Notamacropus eugenii: one gene and its partner. The protein of the gene in region 1 purifies or fractionates together with the protein of each later gene. This does not show direct contact. Links are inferred from orthologs where the notes say so. Each region holds a gene or a part of one and is shown in the gene's direction. Other genes may lie near its edges.

The links. The genes of interacting proteins can lie anywhere in the genome.
Region 2: the proteins of CDK14 (region 1) and CCNY purify together in Homo sapiens (affinity purification with western blotting; 3 studies listed by BioGRID and IntAct, with this or other methods). This does not show direct contact. The link is inferred for Notamacropus eugenii from reciprocal best matches to the Homo sapiens genes CDK14 and CCNY.

The regions. Positions count from the first base shown.
Region 1 is NC_092874.1:52,478,070-52,486,401, reverse strand, and holds the start of CDK14 (cyclin-dependent kinase 14), read left to right. Parts: upstream 1-5,269; 5' UTR 5,270-5,417; coding exon 5,418-5,508; intron 5,509-5,672; exon of another isoform or gene 5,673-6,504; intron 6,505-8,332. UniProt on the Homo sapiens protein: Serine/threonine-protein kinase involved in the control of the eukaryotic cell cycle, whose activity is controlled by an associated cyclin.
Region 2 is NC_092874.1:75,448,464-75,456,347, forward strand, and holds the start of CCNY (cyclin-Y), read left to right. Parts: upstream 1-4,755; coding exon 4,756-4,909; intron 4,910-7,884. UniProt on the Homo sapiens protein: Positive regulatory subunit of the cyclin-dependent kinases CDK14/PFTK1 and CDK16.

The DNA.
Region 1 (8,332 bases):
TATTGTGTTGTTTAATGGCAACTTAGATAAAGGCTTAGTTGGCATGTTTATCACAAAAGTTGCCATGAAAAAAGGAGGGATAGGTAACATAATAAATAATTATCTGGGTCCCTGAAGTTCCAGACTTTTGGACTGAATACACTGAGATGTAATGGGGACAAATGAAAATTCTCACCTCTGGAGTTCTAAAAACTTACTTCACAAATACAATAGATGAGGTATAGCCAGATGTGCAAATTTTATATGAGTCAACAGAGTGGTGGGAGAGAAATAAAGAAAGAGTCCTGTTGTACCACGCCCTGGTCAGACCACATCTGGTCTGAGTACTGTGTTCTGTTTCGGCCAGAACATTTTAAGAAGGACATCAATTAGCTGCAGAATGTTCCAGGGTTAGGAAGCCAGATGGAAAATCACCTTAAGAACATCATATAAGACTTAGTTGTGGGACTGGAGCGTGTTAAGTTTGGAGAAGAAAACAACATGATGGTTGTCTTTAGGTATATGGGAGAATGCTTACATTTGTTATACTTGTCCTCAAACAGTGAGAATTGGAACAATTGATGGAAACGACAAAGAGGCAAATTTGAGCTTGAGCTTGGAAAGTCTCTAAAAGCTAGAGCTAATTTCAAGCTGCTGCCCTGTGTTGCCCTTCATCTGAATTTTTCAGTTGGGGTCTCAAGGAATACCTATCGGATAATTTTTTCAGGTATGGTCTCAGAAGTATCAGAAGTGTTTTTCAACTTTGTGAGTTTCTGATTCTCATATGGTCAAGACCTATCAAATCCATTTGTAATATCAATGCTTTTATGCTCAGTGGATCAGGGATGTCATCCATGTATGTACTCCTTCCAACAATGGAGCTCACAGCCCATCAATGACCACTCATCTTTACCTTATTCACATTCTTCCAATAATCTGTGATGGGGATTCATTCTGGGGGCCTTTCTTTAGATTTTAAGACATTGCATGGAGATCAATGAAACTGGGCCATCCATCAGTTAATATTATAATAAGGGATGGTGACTGGGCCTATGATTTCAACGGGATAACTCCCAGGTAAAGAAATTCTAACAATACAAGGTAGCAGCTTCTCTACAGCTCAGTTTTAGATAATTAACTAGAAGACTGGGAGTTAAGTGATCTGCCTGCAGTAACAGAACCGGTATGGGTCAGATTTTCCTGGCTTGTGGGTCAACCATCTATTATACCACACTGAAAGAGCAATATAAATTTGAATATAATTTTCTATTAATATGTCCTTATACCTAAATCTTAATTCTATACACTAACAGTATGGAATTATAATAATAACAACACTAATAGTGCTATTTCTATGTCTATCTTTAATATAATAGATTTATTGATACATATTTATATAATTTGTTGTTCAGTCACGTCCAACTCTGTGACCCAGGCTGGGGTTTTCTTGGCAAAGATACTGGAGGAGTTTGCCATGTCCTTCTCATTTTACAGATGAAGACATTGAGGCAAACAGGGTTGAGTGACTTGCCCCCAGTCACACAGCTAGTAAGTACCTCAGGCTGGATTTGAACTCAGGTTTTGCTAACTCCAGGCCTGGTGCTCTATCCACTGTGCCGCCTACCTGCCCCATTTCTATAATTGTAACTCACAAAAAATGAGTTATACAAAAACCTGCGTTTTGCTTATGAATTGGATTATACACTACTTCACATTTTCTGCAGAACTCATTGAGCATGGGAGCATTCAAATATTTAGTGGTCTCTGGTTTTCTCAATTAGTTGGTAGAGCTTTGGAGTAAAATAAACAATGTCAGGCGTTCAATTCCTTTGCCAGTTGATTAAGTCAATTTTACTTTAGGAAGATCAAGGTTATCCACTGCATCTTGGGCCACAGCCAGTCATCTTGACTTTGTCTTGCCCCTGGACTTCACTGAATGGAGGAGAAAGTGTTGGCTGACAACTTCATGCAGCTCTGCCTCACTTAAATCCAATTAACGACGGGGTCGTTGGTCCTCCTGAAAGGAAGGAGATGCACATCACCCTTTTCCAATCACAGTCTTCACTCCCTGTTCCTGCACAATGGATCACCCAAATTCTATTAAGCAGAATGCAAAGTGCAAGATGGAAGGGACCATTTTGTCTTTGTCCTTCTATCCTCTGTGATACAAAGCTAGTCATTTAGTTGGTCAACATTTATGAAGTGCCTATATGTGTCAGGTAGTATGTTAAGCACTAGGGATAGAAAGGTAATAAATGGTTTCTGCTCTCCAGGGGCTCATGCAAACAACGAGGGACAAAGGAAAGACAGACAGGCTAAGAGGAAGGCACAGAGATTAAGGAGGATTGGGAAGGGTTTTCCTCAGGAAGTGAGGTTTGAAGGAGGCCAGGAGGTAAGAGATGGGGGAGAGTTCCAGGCCAGGGGAACAGCCAGTGGAAATGCTTAGAACTGCTATATAGGAGCATAAAGTTCTAGGAACAGAAAGGAGACCAGTGGTACTGGATAGAATAATAAGTGGGAGTGTAAGGTGTAAGAAGACTGGAAAGGTAAGAAGGAGTCAGGTCACAGGACTTGGAATGTATTTTTTAGTGTTTATTTAATGGAACTGAACTGAATTTCAAGAGAAAACACATTACTATTGGTCATTGTAACAGTAATCAGATTTAGCTGCTGCTTCATCTGGGTACTCAGTTTAAAACTTACGTTTTGGTTTCCATTTTTTTTTAACAGTTAAGATCAGCCATGCCAGGGGATTATCCATGGTAATGGATAACCATGACGGGAAGAGGGAGATTATGGATAGTAGATCTCCATTGATACTTCCAAAGTTTCATTTTAGCCAAGTTACAACCATCTTTCCTACTAGAGTAGAAAAAAATGAAATTGATGGATTGGAGCTAATTCTTTTTCACTCTTCTAATCATGTGAAGTTTATTTAAAAAAAATTGGGAAGGTAAAGGAGGATTAAAGTATTTGTTTTTTTAAAAAGCAAATCATTGGCAGAACTGCCAAGAGCATCTGGACTTGCTTCGTAGCTGCTGGGAGAGCTCATGGACATCCTGGGATGCTGGATGAAAAGCTTTGTTCCATCACTTACACATGTGTTGCTGACAACTTTCTCTCTGACTCACATGAGGAAATGACAAAAAGAAAACTTTTCCTGAATTGGACCACACAGGATGCTTTCTATGATAGCTAGACAGGGGCATCAGTATCAAAATGCCTGGTAATTTATTTTATTGCTGTTATACATACTGTATCTATGAGTAATTCTTTTCGCAATTCCTATTCACTACTAGACTTCCCGGAAGTCAGAACTTGGTTATTCCCCCCAATCTCCCACCCCCTTTGTCCTTATTGAATGAGATTTCTTAAACACCTTTAATGTGCTCTGCTCTATTATGAATAAATCAAAGACACAGTCCCTGTACTTCAAGGTACAATTTAAGGAAGGGGGAGTTAGTTTTTGTTGCAAGATAAAAATCTTTTAACAAAACACATATTCTCTCAAACTTCCTTTAAAGCAAACAGCATTGTCACACCCTCCCAACGTCTCTCATTGCTTACACAGCCAGATGACTCAAGATTACTAACGTTTGAATTCACAAGAAGCGCTGGTGCCCCAAACAACACATTCTAACCCTCCCCCACTTTCCTTTACTCTCCCTTTGGGAACTGGCATTTGGTTATTTGGATGAAGTCCATCTTATTAGGATCCAGATGATGTCTGTCTGCAAACTGTACAATTGCAAACTCTCAGCAGTCCAGTGTTGGAGGTGGCAAGGCATTTCTTTTTGTATCCATTGAGGCAGAAGGGTGAGGTGGGTGCTCTGCGGCAGTATAGTATATTAGAAAGAAGCAGCTAGGGGTCCAGGTCGACAGAGCGCTGGACCCGGAGCCAGGAGGGTCTGAGATCAAATCCTACACCACAGACAGTGACTACTCGTGTGATCCTGGGCAAGTCACTTAACCCCGATTGTCTCCAGAAAGCAAGAAAGCATACTGGTTTGGAAGTCTCTGCCTCTAAAATAGGACAACCCCTTCGCTAACTGTATGACCTTGGGTGAGTCAACTCACTTTGGATAAGACGATCTTTGTGGTCCCTTCTAGATCTAAATCCTTGATCTTATAACTTGGGTTCAAATCCTGGCTTAGCCACTTCCAAGAGTCAAAATGAGGGCTGCAACTAGTGAAAAGAGACTTGCTAGCTGCAAGTAGGTGCCTTGCAACAACTAGCTGTGAGACCTCGGACAAAGGACCTCGTGGCTCTGGGCCTCAGTTTCCCCAAAGGTGAAAAGAGGAGGCAGAGTGAACTCTGCGGCCTCGGAGGGGCCCTCCAGCACGAGGGGGTGCTTCGCTGCTTTCTGCAGGTCCCTCCCCTTCACAGCTGCCTGGGCAGCTGAAGGATGGACCACAGCCTGCCGCATATCGGCTGGCCCTTCCGCGGACAGCCGCGGCGGACAGCGGGCTCCCCGGCCTGCCCTTCCTTTCAATTTCACACATCGTTAATTTCAGGCAGGAGAAACACCTCCGATCCCAACGACCAACTTCTCTCGGCGCCGGCCCCCACCCCGCGGGTCCCCGTCCCGCGGGCTCGCGCCGCTCCGAGGCTCCGGCGCCGAAGGAAGGCTCCGCTCGGGGAGTCCCCGGCCCGGACACCGAGCCGCAAGTCTCGGGCAGCTCGGGCTGGGAGCGCGCGCGCGTCTGGGTGGATCGGGAGGAGGAGGGGGCGGGGGCGGGGCCGTCCGGGGGCTGCTCCCGCTCCGAGGCAGGGGGAGAGGAGGGAGGGGATGACGCGGCCTGGGAGCGGGGGAGCCCGGGCTGCCGCCGCCTTCGCCGCCCGCTGCCGCTGCTCCGCGCCCCGCGCCGCCGCCTCCGGGGCTCGCGCGGCCGGTCCACGGACGGCCGCCGCCTAGGCGACCCGGGCCGCTCCCGGCCCTCGGCCCTCGCCTCGGCTCCGCGGCGCTCGACAACTTCTCCCCCGCCCGCCCTCGCCGCAGCCCCCGCAGGCTCCTCGCCCCTTTCTCTCCCGCGGACCCCCCGCCCGCAGCCCGCCGCCCCGGCCCGGCCTGGGCGCAGCTTCTCGGCCCCCGGGGGACGCAGGGGGTGCAATGCGCCAGGCTGCGGGGAGCTCCGCGGCGGAGGCAGGCGCTTCCCGGGGCACCACGTAGAAAGTCTGGGCGAGCGGGGAGCAGGCGGCGGCGGCATCCGCGGCCCCTCGGACCCTCTCCTCCCGCGCCCCGCACCCGCCCCGCCCCGCAGCCCCGACGGCGGGGCCAGGCCCGCGGGGCTCGGGACTCGTCCGCCCGGCTCCGCTCCGCGCCCTCCCGCGTCGCCCGAGGCTGAGCCTCCTCCCCCGCCCCGCCCGCCCCCCGGTCTCCCGCATCTGCCTGGGCTAGGGTCCGGGCTCGGGAAGTGTCCCGGGCCCCGCGGTCCCGATGTGTGACCTGATCGAGCCCCAGCCGGCGGAGCGGATCAGCAGGATGAAGAAGTTGCGCCGAACTTTGTCCGAGAGTTTCAGCCGCATAGGTGAGGCTGGGGGCTGGGGGCTGGGGGGCTGGGGGCTGGGGGCCGGGCCCCCCCGTCCGTCCTCCGCCAGCCCCGGGGGGGGGTCAGCGGGGGGCTGAGTGCGCGGGGGGCCCGCGGGTGCCCGCAGGACACTCGCTTGGTGGGGATTCCAGTCCGTTATTCGCTTCCCCCCATCCTCCTCCCAGCGCGGGGCAGTGGTGTGGCCGGTTGTTCCCCCGGACCGCGGCCGGCCGGCTGGGGCAGCTTTGGGGGTTCCTGAAAAGGTGGAACCGAAACTCAAGGGGACATTTGCCAACCCATGAAACCCCAGAGGGAGTGACCGCCCCCAGGGGCACCTCTGGGCGGGCACTTAGGGTTTCCAGGAATGCCAGGGGTGATGGTAGCCAGGGGCCACCGAGACCCCCGTTTGTGGATGCTTTACAGAACGTGTGCCAGACCCACCTACCGCGAAGAGCCCCCTTGTCAGTGACCGGGAACGGCTGACTTCATTCTTTTTTTGATTCCAAAAAACTTTTTGGGAACTTCAGGCTTTTAGTAAAGACCAATCTTGTAACTGTTTCCTGGATTTCAAGGACTGACAGCAGAACTTGCCCCTTTGACTTAGCCAACTTGGGAAGGCAGCAGCAGGGTGCCCGGGTCACTGTCATCTGTGCGCGGTGGTGCCAACAGCAGGAACGTTCTGCCGCTTATTAAACTGAGCCACAGGCACTGGGTCTTTGTTTCAGGTTTTTAATGGCCATGTTGGTGAAGGTGTTAATGGAAATGGCCAATTCCACCCCTCCCCACTCCCAAAGGAACAAAAGGGCTCTAAGTAGTGTTTGCATGTATATATCTGTAGTTTAACGCAGATAGAATATTTGTGCTAAATGAACTTTTGACATTTACAAACATACCCTAAAAATGTTCCCTGTTCCCTTATCTTTTCTCAACTAAAAGTCAGTTCTGAGGATATGGATTTAGTGGTGGTGTCTTTGTTTTCCATTGACTTATGAATAGGTAAGTCAATTCAGACTGTACAACAGCCCAATCTCCCTTTAGAGTCTTAAACTCAAGCCCAGAATTAATATTAACATCCAAGTTTTCCTTGCAAGTATATGGTATATTTGTAAGTTCCCTCATCAGAGTTTGAAATCCTCAGGAAATAAAGTTTCAAGATTAAAAAGAGCATTTGTTTGTAAGTACTTATACATTTGTAAGTACTTCGTGCGCAATGTTTATTATTAATAATACTGGTAATTCAGATTCTAATCCAGATGACCATATAGGCCTCTGTTCTTGCAGTCCATTAGCTTAATGTTTTAAAAACATTTTACTGTGTATTTTCTAATATTAATGACTCCGTTGGAGTCAAGCCAGTTTTGTATTAAATAATTAATGTCAGTTGCCTTGGTAAGAAACTAAGGAAATGAACACAACAGATAAATTTAATATTAACCATGTCTATGTTTCAATAATATCTAAGTCTTCATTTTTTATTTCCATTTTGTAAGACATAGATTAAGTAGAATCTTGGGGAAGTGGAATATTGTGGGTAATTGAAATTTCAGGTTTATTGAGGGTTAGGTTGTTTTCCTTTCCAGCCTTTGTTGAGATATTAAAAATATGAGTAAATTTTCCTGCTTTACAGTGTGGTGAATATGACTGATTGCTTCTTGGAGTTCCGGAAGGCCCTCATCCCAAACATTAATTAAAAGTATAGATTTACAAAGTCTAGGAGATTGGGTTAAAGCCACACTGAGGTTGGATAATATATTGGAAGTTGCTTTTTGGATTTATCCTTGCTATCGATTTATTTTCTTGTAATTTTCCTCTTTTACCTAAAAGTAAAGATTGTGTTTGAAGACTTTTTAGCTATTTGGGTTTTATCTAATTGGAACTTTATTGTACTGGAATTAAAATTTTAAAAGATTGCACTGTTGTAGCTTTTGGAAGAAAGTGCTGTGAAATGAGGGGCAAAGGGACAGATCTAACTTGGAGTCTTCTGGCTTTCTTCATACATCAGTTATCTGTGTCTTGGTAGTTCATGGTGGGATCAAATTGCTGATACTTTTCCCGGTTCTGCAATTTGACACGCCACTACCCTTCTCCTTCCCTTGTTCAACTCAGATGGGATTATTGCAGAATGCCTGCTAGAAATAGCATCCTTCTTACTGACTTAGTTCTGCCCTTTATTTTGTGTGCAATTCCTAAGGGTAGTTTAAAATATCTTTGTGATACACAGTGGCATTGTTTAATTGCAAGCAGTGACAAATTGCCCAACTAGGAAACCTTGGTTAACAGTGAGGAACAGTCTTTGAAAGTTCTGGCTGTTCAATCAGTGTTTATAATGCAGACCACAAGAAGTTAGGAGTGCCAGCATGAAGGCCTGATTTGCTCCTCTATTAAATTGGTCCTGCAAGCTTTTCTCCCTTCCTTCAGTAACCATGGACAAGCTGAGATTACTACCTATAAAAGGACCTATAAAACACATTGATTTTCAAGCGATAGAGCCCTAATTTGTGAGGTCTGCCAGCGAGTGACTGGGATATCCACTGGGGCTCCCTCCTAAGACTTGTATAATTGAATCGGAAAGTCACCCATTGATGCTAGTTAGGAATGTTTGTGGCTTATGGCTAAATAATGTCTGCAGTCCCTTCTAATTAGGAATTATTGTAGTTGTCCAGCACATCTCTTTGGTTTTTATTTGATGCCAATAAAACGAACTAAAGAGTGGTGGAAATCTGCTACACGTTGTTCACATGATTGAAGATGTATCTTTATAAATGTTTTTGGAGGGCCAAGGTTAGGAAGTTAGGACATGTTCTCCAGAACCAAACTAAGTTTC
Region 2 (7,884 bases), about 23 Mb from region 1:
TGAAGAGATTAATGGAAGAGGGGATTTGATTTGAGTCTTGAAGGATGGGTAGAAAATAGGCATAGGCAAAATAGGTGAATATGGGATCGGAAGGTTATTCCCAGATGGAGGAACAATGTTGTATAAAGGCAAAGAGGCAGGAAATCAGAGAAAATTTGCAGAGGCCAGGAAGCAGTCCAATTTGTCTAGAATAGGGTACATAAAGGGGAATAATAGTAGGAGAGAAGTTTGGAAAGGTACATTTGTATATATACATAATGGGCTACATAATGGGGATCCATTGAAGGTTCTGAGCAAGGGCATGACATGATCAATTATGGTCTGATTAGATTAATCTGATACCAGAAGTAGAATGAATTGGTAAACGAGGGGAAGAAGACTGAAGGGGACCAGTCAGGAGGCTGCTGCAAGAATCTAAGAGTGAATAGTCAGGGAAAGAACACATACAACGACTACAGTAAACAAAAAAGGACAATAAAATGAAGCTGAAGGAGATAAAATGATTAAGCTTGGCCCAGGAAATGAATCTTTCTTTGTTTGGAGAGGTAAAGAACTATGTGTGCGGAATATCAAAAATAGTTTCAGGTGTTGGTGATATTTTGGTTGGTTTTGCTTAACAGATTTTTGGTTATTGTTACCAGAGAAGATTAAGATTTAGAAAAGGGAAAAGACATATTTGGAAGGGACTGGGATGTAAAAGCATAAGGCAGCAATAAAACTTAAGAAAATAATGTATGAAAGAGGGCATGGAAATCCGAACTGAAATGGTAGAAGTGGACAAAGAGAAGTTAGATGGGAGAAAGAAGAAAATTGTTTGGATGTGGGGACAAAAGAAAAGAAAGTCTAAGATGGCTGTCAGGTATCAAATATGGGTGGCTGGGAGGTTGGTAGTGTTAAATATAGGGAAGCCAGGAGGTGGAGCTGGTTGGGAAGGGTGGGGGTTGGAAAGATAAACAATTCAGTTTTGGATATGTTGAGTTTGAAGTGCTGACAGGTCTTCCAGATGGTGCTGTCTAGGAAACAGCTGGAAATGCAGATGTATAACAGCTCAACAGAGAAACTGGGGCTAGAAATTGAGATTTGGGCAAGCCAGTGAGGTAGATGAGATCACTGAGGGAAAGAGCAAAGAAAGAGAATTAAGCCAAGAACAGAACCCTGGGGAATGCCAACATGATGGGAATGGGAGGTGGAGGAACCAGTGAAACAGAAAAGTTATTAAAAAGTTAAGAACACAGTTCTAAGTATGCCAAGAGAGGGTGGATAACCAGGATCAATACCTACATAGGCTTTCTTGGGTAGATAGATCACTTGGGTAATCAGATTTTGAATTTTGGAGGGTGAGGGGGTGATACTCATTTAGAGGGACAAAGGAAGTAAAATTTTGACTAGACGGCGAGTTTGGGAATGGGTATCTTTGAACAGTATGAATAAACTAGATCACTGCAATACAAAGAAGTATTGGGTTAAGAGGACAATAAGGGAAAATGCCTAGTTTGCTATTTTGCCTAGTGCTTTCCAGGGAAGTCAGAGAAAATCACTGATTCCAGAACTAGACTATCAGGGCTATTACCAAGGCTGTACTCCTCAGGTTCTCCCAGTTTAGCCTAGTCTCTGTTCTAGACTAGTCTAGTCCAACTTCAATTCAGGCCAATTTCTCCATTCTGATCTTTAATTTCCCCACTCCTGGAAAGAAGGGGGCAGAGAGAAGGAAGAAAATGATATACACATAAAGTCACCTTGTCCCATATCATTACCATGAAATAATTCAGCATTCCAGGGATTATCCTAATCACAAGGACAAATTCCTGGGAATGACCTTTCTCTCATTCACCTTCAAGTACCCTTTGAACAACTCTCAAATGCCTTGGTAATACAAAAAAGTCAAAGTATCATAGTCTCCTGTCCTCAAGAAACTTACAATTCAATACTCTTCTGATTACCTCTCTACATCCCTTCCTGCCCTGCTCCAAAGGGCTGCATCAAACTTGGGAAGGGAAGGGAAAGAGAAGAGTTTTCTAGTTTACAGTTACTGGCAATACAGGTTTGCTTCATGGACAACACCTGCACGGCCACCTGACTACTACCCAAAATGGGCTCCCGTTCAGTGCATGAGGCAAACTTTAAAAGCATTATAGAAAGGTGAACCATTATTATCACCGAAAAGAGTGCTGGATTTCAGAAAACTTGGGTTTGATTCCCAGCTGTCATTTAATACCTCCGTGGATCACAGATGGAGAATTGGGAGATTACCTAGTTCAACCACCTCTTTTGATACGGAGGAAATGGTAGTTCAGGGTAATTAAATGTCTGGCCCAAGGTTGCATAAATACTGTGTCCAAACTAGATAACCTCTAGTTTAGACAGCATCTAAACTAGATGACCTCTAAACCTTGCCCCTAAGACTTTTATTTTTGTTGTTTTATTTCTAATTCCTAGCGTGCATGGTACCTGGCAGATCACAGGCTGTGAACTCAGGTCCTCTGACTAAAAAGCTCTTTCTATATGACAACATAGTTGGGCAAGTGTGTCAGTAGATAGGGCACTGGGCCTGGAGTCAGAAAGATTCATCTTCCTGAGTTCAAATCTGGCCTCAGACATTTATTTACTAGCTGAGCGACTCTCGGCAAGTCATTTAATCCTGTTTGCCTCAGTTCCTCATCTGTAAAATGAACTGGAGAAGGAAATGGAGAACCACTCCAATATCTCTGCCAAGAAAATCACAAATGGGGTCATTATGAGTCATGACTGAATATTAAAGCTGAAGGGTTTTTAAACCCTCTCCTAGTTCTAAATGTATAGAATGAATGTAAGCTCCTTGAGGCTTCATTTGGGTTGTTGTATCTCTAGTATATAGCGTAGCGTTTGGCAAATATCACTCAAATACTTGTTGATTAAGTGATAACCAGCACTTTGCTACTAAAAATAATTTCAACATTTTGTAATGATCATAATGCTATTTTTCTTGATTCTTGTATAGACGCTTAACTTTCAAGTGACTGTGCCCTCCGCAGCTGGGGGGCACAAGGGAATTCATTCTATGATTTCAACAAGGTCTACAACTAATCAATGGCATTGCCCTAAAATAAACCGGGGATCTTCTGACTCAAGGTGCAAGTTCCCATCTCCACTCCGCCCCACTTTTTTTTTTAAACACTAAAACACATTCTCCGGACTGTCACAAAAAATGCTTCTTTCTTCCTTCCAACGAGCCCCAATCATCCCTCTTGCTCCTACCCGCCTCATCCTACACTTTCTACCAGTGTGACCCTGGACAAGTCACAACCTCTCTTGGCTTCATTGTAAAATCGAGGGTTTTTTTTTGATTAGATGACCCCAAGATCCCTTCCAGCCTGAAATGTGATGCTCCTCTGCCCCAGTTCTCCATCCAATCTCTCTCTAACTCAGCCCCATCTAATTTCCCTAGTCCTCCTGATTCCTTTCCCTCTACTTCTGGTTTCACATTATGAAGCCAGCATTTGGGCCCCCCAAAAGAGGGCAAACTCACTCTCCCCTGCCAGTGTTTCTCCCTGTGCCAGGTTTCCATCTTGCTTGAGGGAAAAGAAACACAGATTGAGATGTTTTGTAAATATTCTATCGAGTCTCCCGTTCGGCTCCTTTGGATAAGGAGTGCGGGGAACTGAGGGAGAGATGGAAAGAATTATTATTTTTTGTAAGGAAGAAAGCCGAAGCTGCCCCAGGCACTCCGCAGAGGACGGGGATGCCTTGGGGCCGGGCAGGGCGCACGCTGCCTCCCGGGCACCCCGGGCACCCCGGCCGCGGGCTCGGGCTCTTGTGCTTCCAGGGCAGCCGACGCCTCGAAAAAGGAAGAGGAGGCGACAGCAGAAGAGGCGGGGATGTCGCGGGAGCGGGGGTTTCCCCCAGCGGCGGCGGCTGCAGCGGCGGCGGCCCGGAGGAATCCCCCCTCCCGGCGGGCGGCGGCGGCCCGGGGGCACGCGGGCAGCGCGCGGGGCAGGCGGAGACGCCCCGGCGGCCGCGCACTCGGGCTCCGCAGCCTGGCTGGCCGGCGGCTCCGGTTACCACCCCCTTGAACCGGAACCTTTTGCAGCAGGCAGCTTGGGGCCGCCGCCGCCGCCGCTCCCGCAGCCAGCCCGGGCGGACGGAGTGCCAAGGCCCGGAGGCGCGCCCCAGCCCCGGGCCGGCCCCTGGCTGCGGCGGGATGACTTAGGCGCCGCCACCGCTGCAGCCCCACGCGCGCGCGCGTGTGCGAGTGAGTGTGAGTGTGCGTGCGTGCATGTGTGTGTGTGTGCGGGAGACAGAGCGCTCGGGGTCTGCCTGCCCCTCGCGGCGCCGCCGAGCCAGCCAGGACGTGCTTTGGTGCGGGGCCGCTTGGATGAGCCACTGGGGAGAGCGGCGAGCGTGTGCCACCGAGGGGGCAGCCTGGGAAGCCGCCTCCGCCTCCGCTGCCTCCTCTTCCTCCTCTTCCTCCGCCTCCTCCTCCCCCAGCTCCCCGTTGTCTCCTCCTCCGCCGCCCATGGCTAGGCACCGCCGCCGCGGCCGCTGCTGCAGCTGCTGACCGGGGCAGCTGGGCTGCGGCTAGCACCCCCCGCGGCGGGGAGCGAGACCCCACGCCCCCTCTTCCTCCCCCACCCCCATCCCCACCCCCTGTGCCCCCCGCATCCCTTCCCTCCTCTGCCCCCGCCCCTTTGCCCTGCACCCCTATCCCCGGGGTGGGGGGGTTGGGGAAGTGGTAGAAGGAGAAAGCCAGGGGAGGAGGAATTGGGGAGGCCAGTGAAGATGGGGAACACTACGTCTTGCTGTGTGTCGTCCAGCCCCAAGCTCAGGAGAAATGCCCACTCCCGGCTGGAGTCCTATCGGCCCGACACCGAGCTGAGCCGGGAGGACACAGGCTGCAACCTGCAACACATCAGCGATCGGGAGAACATCGATGGTGAGTACGAGATGGGCAGAGAGAAGCATCGCGTGTGCGTGTGTGTGTGTGTGTGCGTGTGTGTGCCCGCGTGTGTGTGTGCCCGCGTGTGTGTGCCCGCGTGTGTGTGCCCGCGTGTGTGTGCGTGGTGCTGTGCTGTGTGCTCCCGCCTCTGTCCTGGAAAGGGGGTCAAGAACTCGGAGTGGGCAGTTGGGGAGAGTGCTTATGGGAAGGAGGGGGGCTCTCCCTTCCTCCCTTTTTGACCTTTCCCTCCTCCCCTTCTAACTTCTCTCCTATGCCTCTAGAGATAAACCCCACATGTAAGGATGAAGCTGAGGATGGCTGTTACTCCCAGCCTCCTTTCTCTCTGGTCTTTGGTTCCTGGTCCCAATTGTTGGGCAGCTCCGCATCGTCTCCTTCATCCCTTTATGATTTTTCTCTTCTCTCCTTATTAATCTTTGCTTCACCACCCCTCCCCTCAGCTAAAGCACTAGTATTTGTTAACTGTTTCTAATGGGAAGAGTTGTGTTTATAAATTGGTGTTCTGGTTCTCTAGGGGAGCTCTCTGATGGGTGTCGCTGGCTTGTTCTGAAGTTTGTACCATGAGTGGCAGAAAAAACTTTACTGACCAAGATACCTCATTGAACTGTCCTGTTTAGACAGTGTTGGTGCTGCTGCCTTAGGGATGGTCAGAATAGACAGGCCGTGGGTGTGGGTGACAGCCACTCCACCTTCTTTTTCAGAGATGATGGAACAAAGTGAGAGCTGTCAAACCTTAGAGATGTCCGTTTTTGCCTTTTATATCCTGGGATAACCACATTATATTTCTGGGGGATTGAGGATGGTGGAAAAATGAGGATGTACTGGGTGAAATATATTTCCATTACTCTGAAAGTCATGTATAAACACTGGGTTAGCTGAGGGTAGCCAACTCCCATTTTGGAGTTGTAGTGACTGAAAACTGCCTTGCAGTTAGAGTACAGTTGGACTCCTGGGGTGGTGTACTCTTCAAATTAATCAGACACCAAAGATGGACTGCCAGCTTCCCTGATCTGGTTTCATGTTAGTTGCTGTTTTCCTTCCCAAACATGATAAATGCTTTTTTAAAAAATGCAGCAAAACCTTTCTCTTCAGGCAGCACATACTAGAACTATAAATTATATACTTTTCTTTGGAGCTTTTTCAGCAATATTAAGAGATTAGGAGAAAGATTTGGATTAAATCAGATAATGACTTTAGTCAAAATAATACCATAAAAAAGGGCTTATATATTGAGTTATATTATCTTTCTATGGATTCATGACTGTAGTCCGATACACAGCTTTGATTTGCAGTAGAGAAGCTTTTGGAAATAATGCCCTGACTGTTGCCCCCTCTTAATGATTAACTATTGACTTTATTCTTTGTATCAGTGCTAGCCTGATTCTTTTTGCAGGGAGCTTTCAGTGAGAAGTTAGTTTGCACTTTTGGTTCAGGAGTGCTTTAAGTAAAAATTTTAGGTATTTTTAGTCTTTCAGAAAGCTTGCAACCAGAAATTTCTTGATTCTTTGGTTTTGCCAAGAATCTTCTGTTTCATTGGCCCTGTTAACTGTTCTATACAAGTTCCTTGTGTCTGCATGAATGAAAGTACTGATGAGGCAAAAGTGTATACTTTCTCTGTTGTAATAATCCAATTCCTCTCTGTTTGAGAATGGAGCATTGACTCAAGTCTTAGACAGTGGAAAACCCAATTTAAGTGGCACAAAAGGAATTATTATTTTCTCATCATGTGGTAAGACTGACCTAATCTGATTCTTAAAAGTGGTGACTTTCTTCAGTTCTGTAGAATACACCTAGATGTTAAGATTTCAGTCTTGTTTTCTTTGACCTTGGTTGTATATAGGTATTGAGGTTGAAACATGCACACACACACCCACACAACAAACTGTTTCTAACTTTATGAGATTGTTGTGGAAGACCATTGACCAACCCCTTACACTTGACCTGTAGTTCCATGTTTGGAAACATTTCCTCTTACTCCATTCATGTGAATTTACATTTTGTGGAGGTTTTTAATCTTAAATGACAGATTTGCCTAAACAAATACACAGTAGGGTCTGATTTCTTAGAAGCTGATTATGTAGAGATGCCTATAATAAGAAAACAGAAAAAATTGTAATTGTAACCAGCTCTTTGGTGCAGCAGCTTTGGGAGGATTTTGTGGGAACAATAAAACAGTATCCTATGTTTTTTCTTTTGCAAGAGTCGAAGTTTCAGTTGTTAAGTATCCTGGAGTGGAGGGAGGTGGGGAGGGAAAGAATATTTGGAAGTGTCTGGATTTTATTTTTGAGAGCTTGGGATCATTTGAATGATGGTAGGGTAGATTATAGAAAGTTTTATTGTTTCAAGAGGAAAGGCTGACCGGGGTGGGAACAGTTACTTGGCAGCAGGCTTCTCCTTAATGGTAGCATCACTGCGGTACTGTATAATTCCTGGCTGAAACTTTTCAGATGATGCCATTTTAATCCCAGAAATGCTAATTCACTACTTAAACAATGTTCTGTCATTCTCCCAAAATCTGATTCAGTAAGTAATACTTCCAGGATTTACTCACTCCATTGAGCTATTTGCAAGCTTTTCAGGGCTGCCCCTTCTTCAGAGCTGGAGGTTAGGAATAAGACCGCTGGTTTGTTTAGATTGGGTTAGAGTTTGGCCTAACTCCGGAATTGAGCTGTGGTGATTACTTTTCAAAGTCAGAAGCTGATGAGTTAACATTTTGGAATTCCACCAGTATTCAAAAGAAGTAGCCAGGCAATTCCATTTTTCTTTTAGCATTAGCAAAAACTGCTTTCTTAAAGCAAATCCTGCTATTCGAAATATATGAGTTTTAGGGGATAGCAGCATGGCTGGAAATGAGAAGTTCAGAAAAGTTTAGGCAATAAATGCTTAATGAACACTCTAGGTCAGTTCTCTGTGGCATACAGTGAACACATACCCATGTGTCACTTTGAGTATAT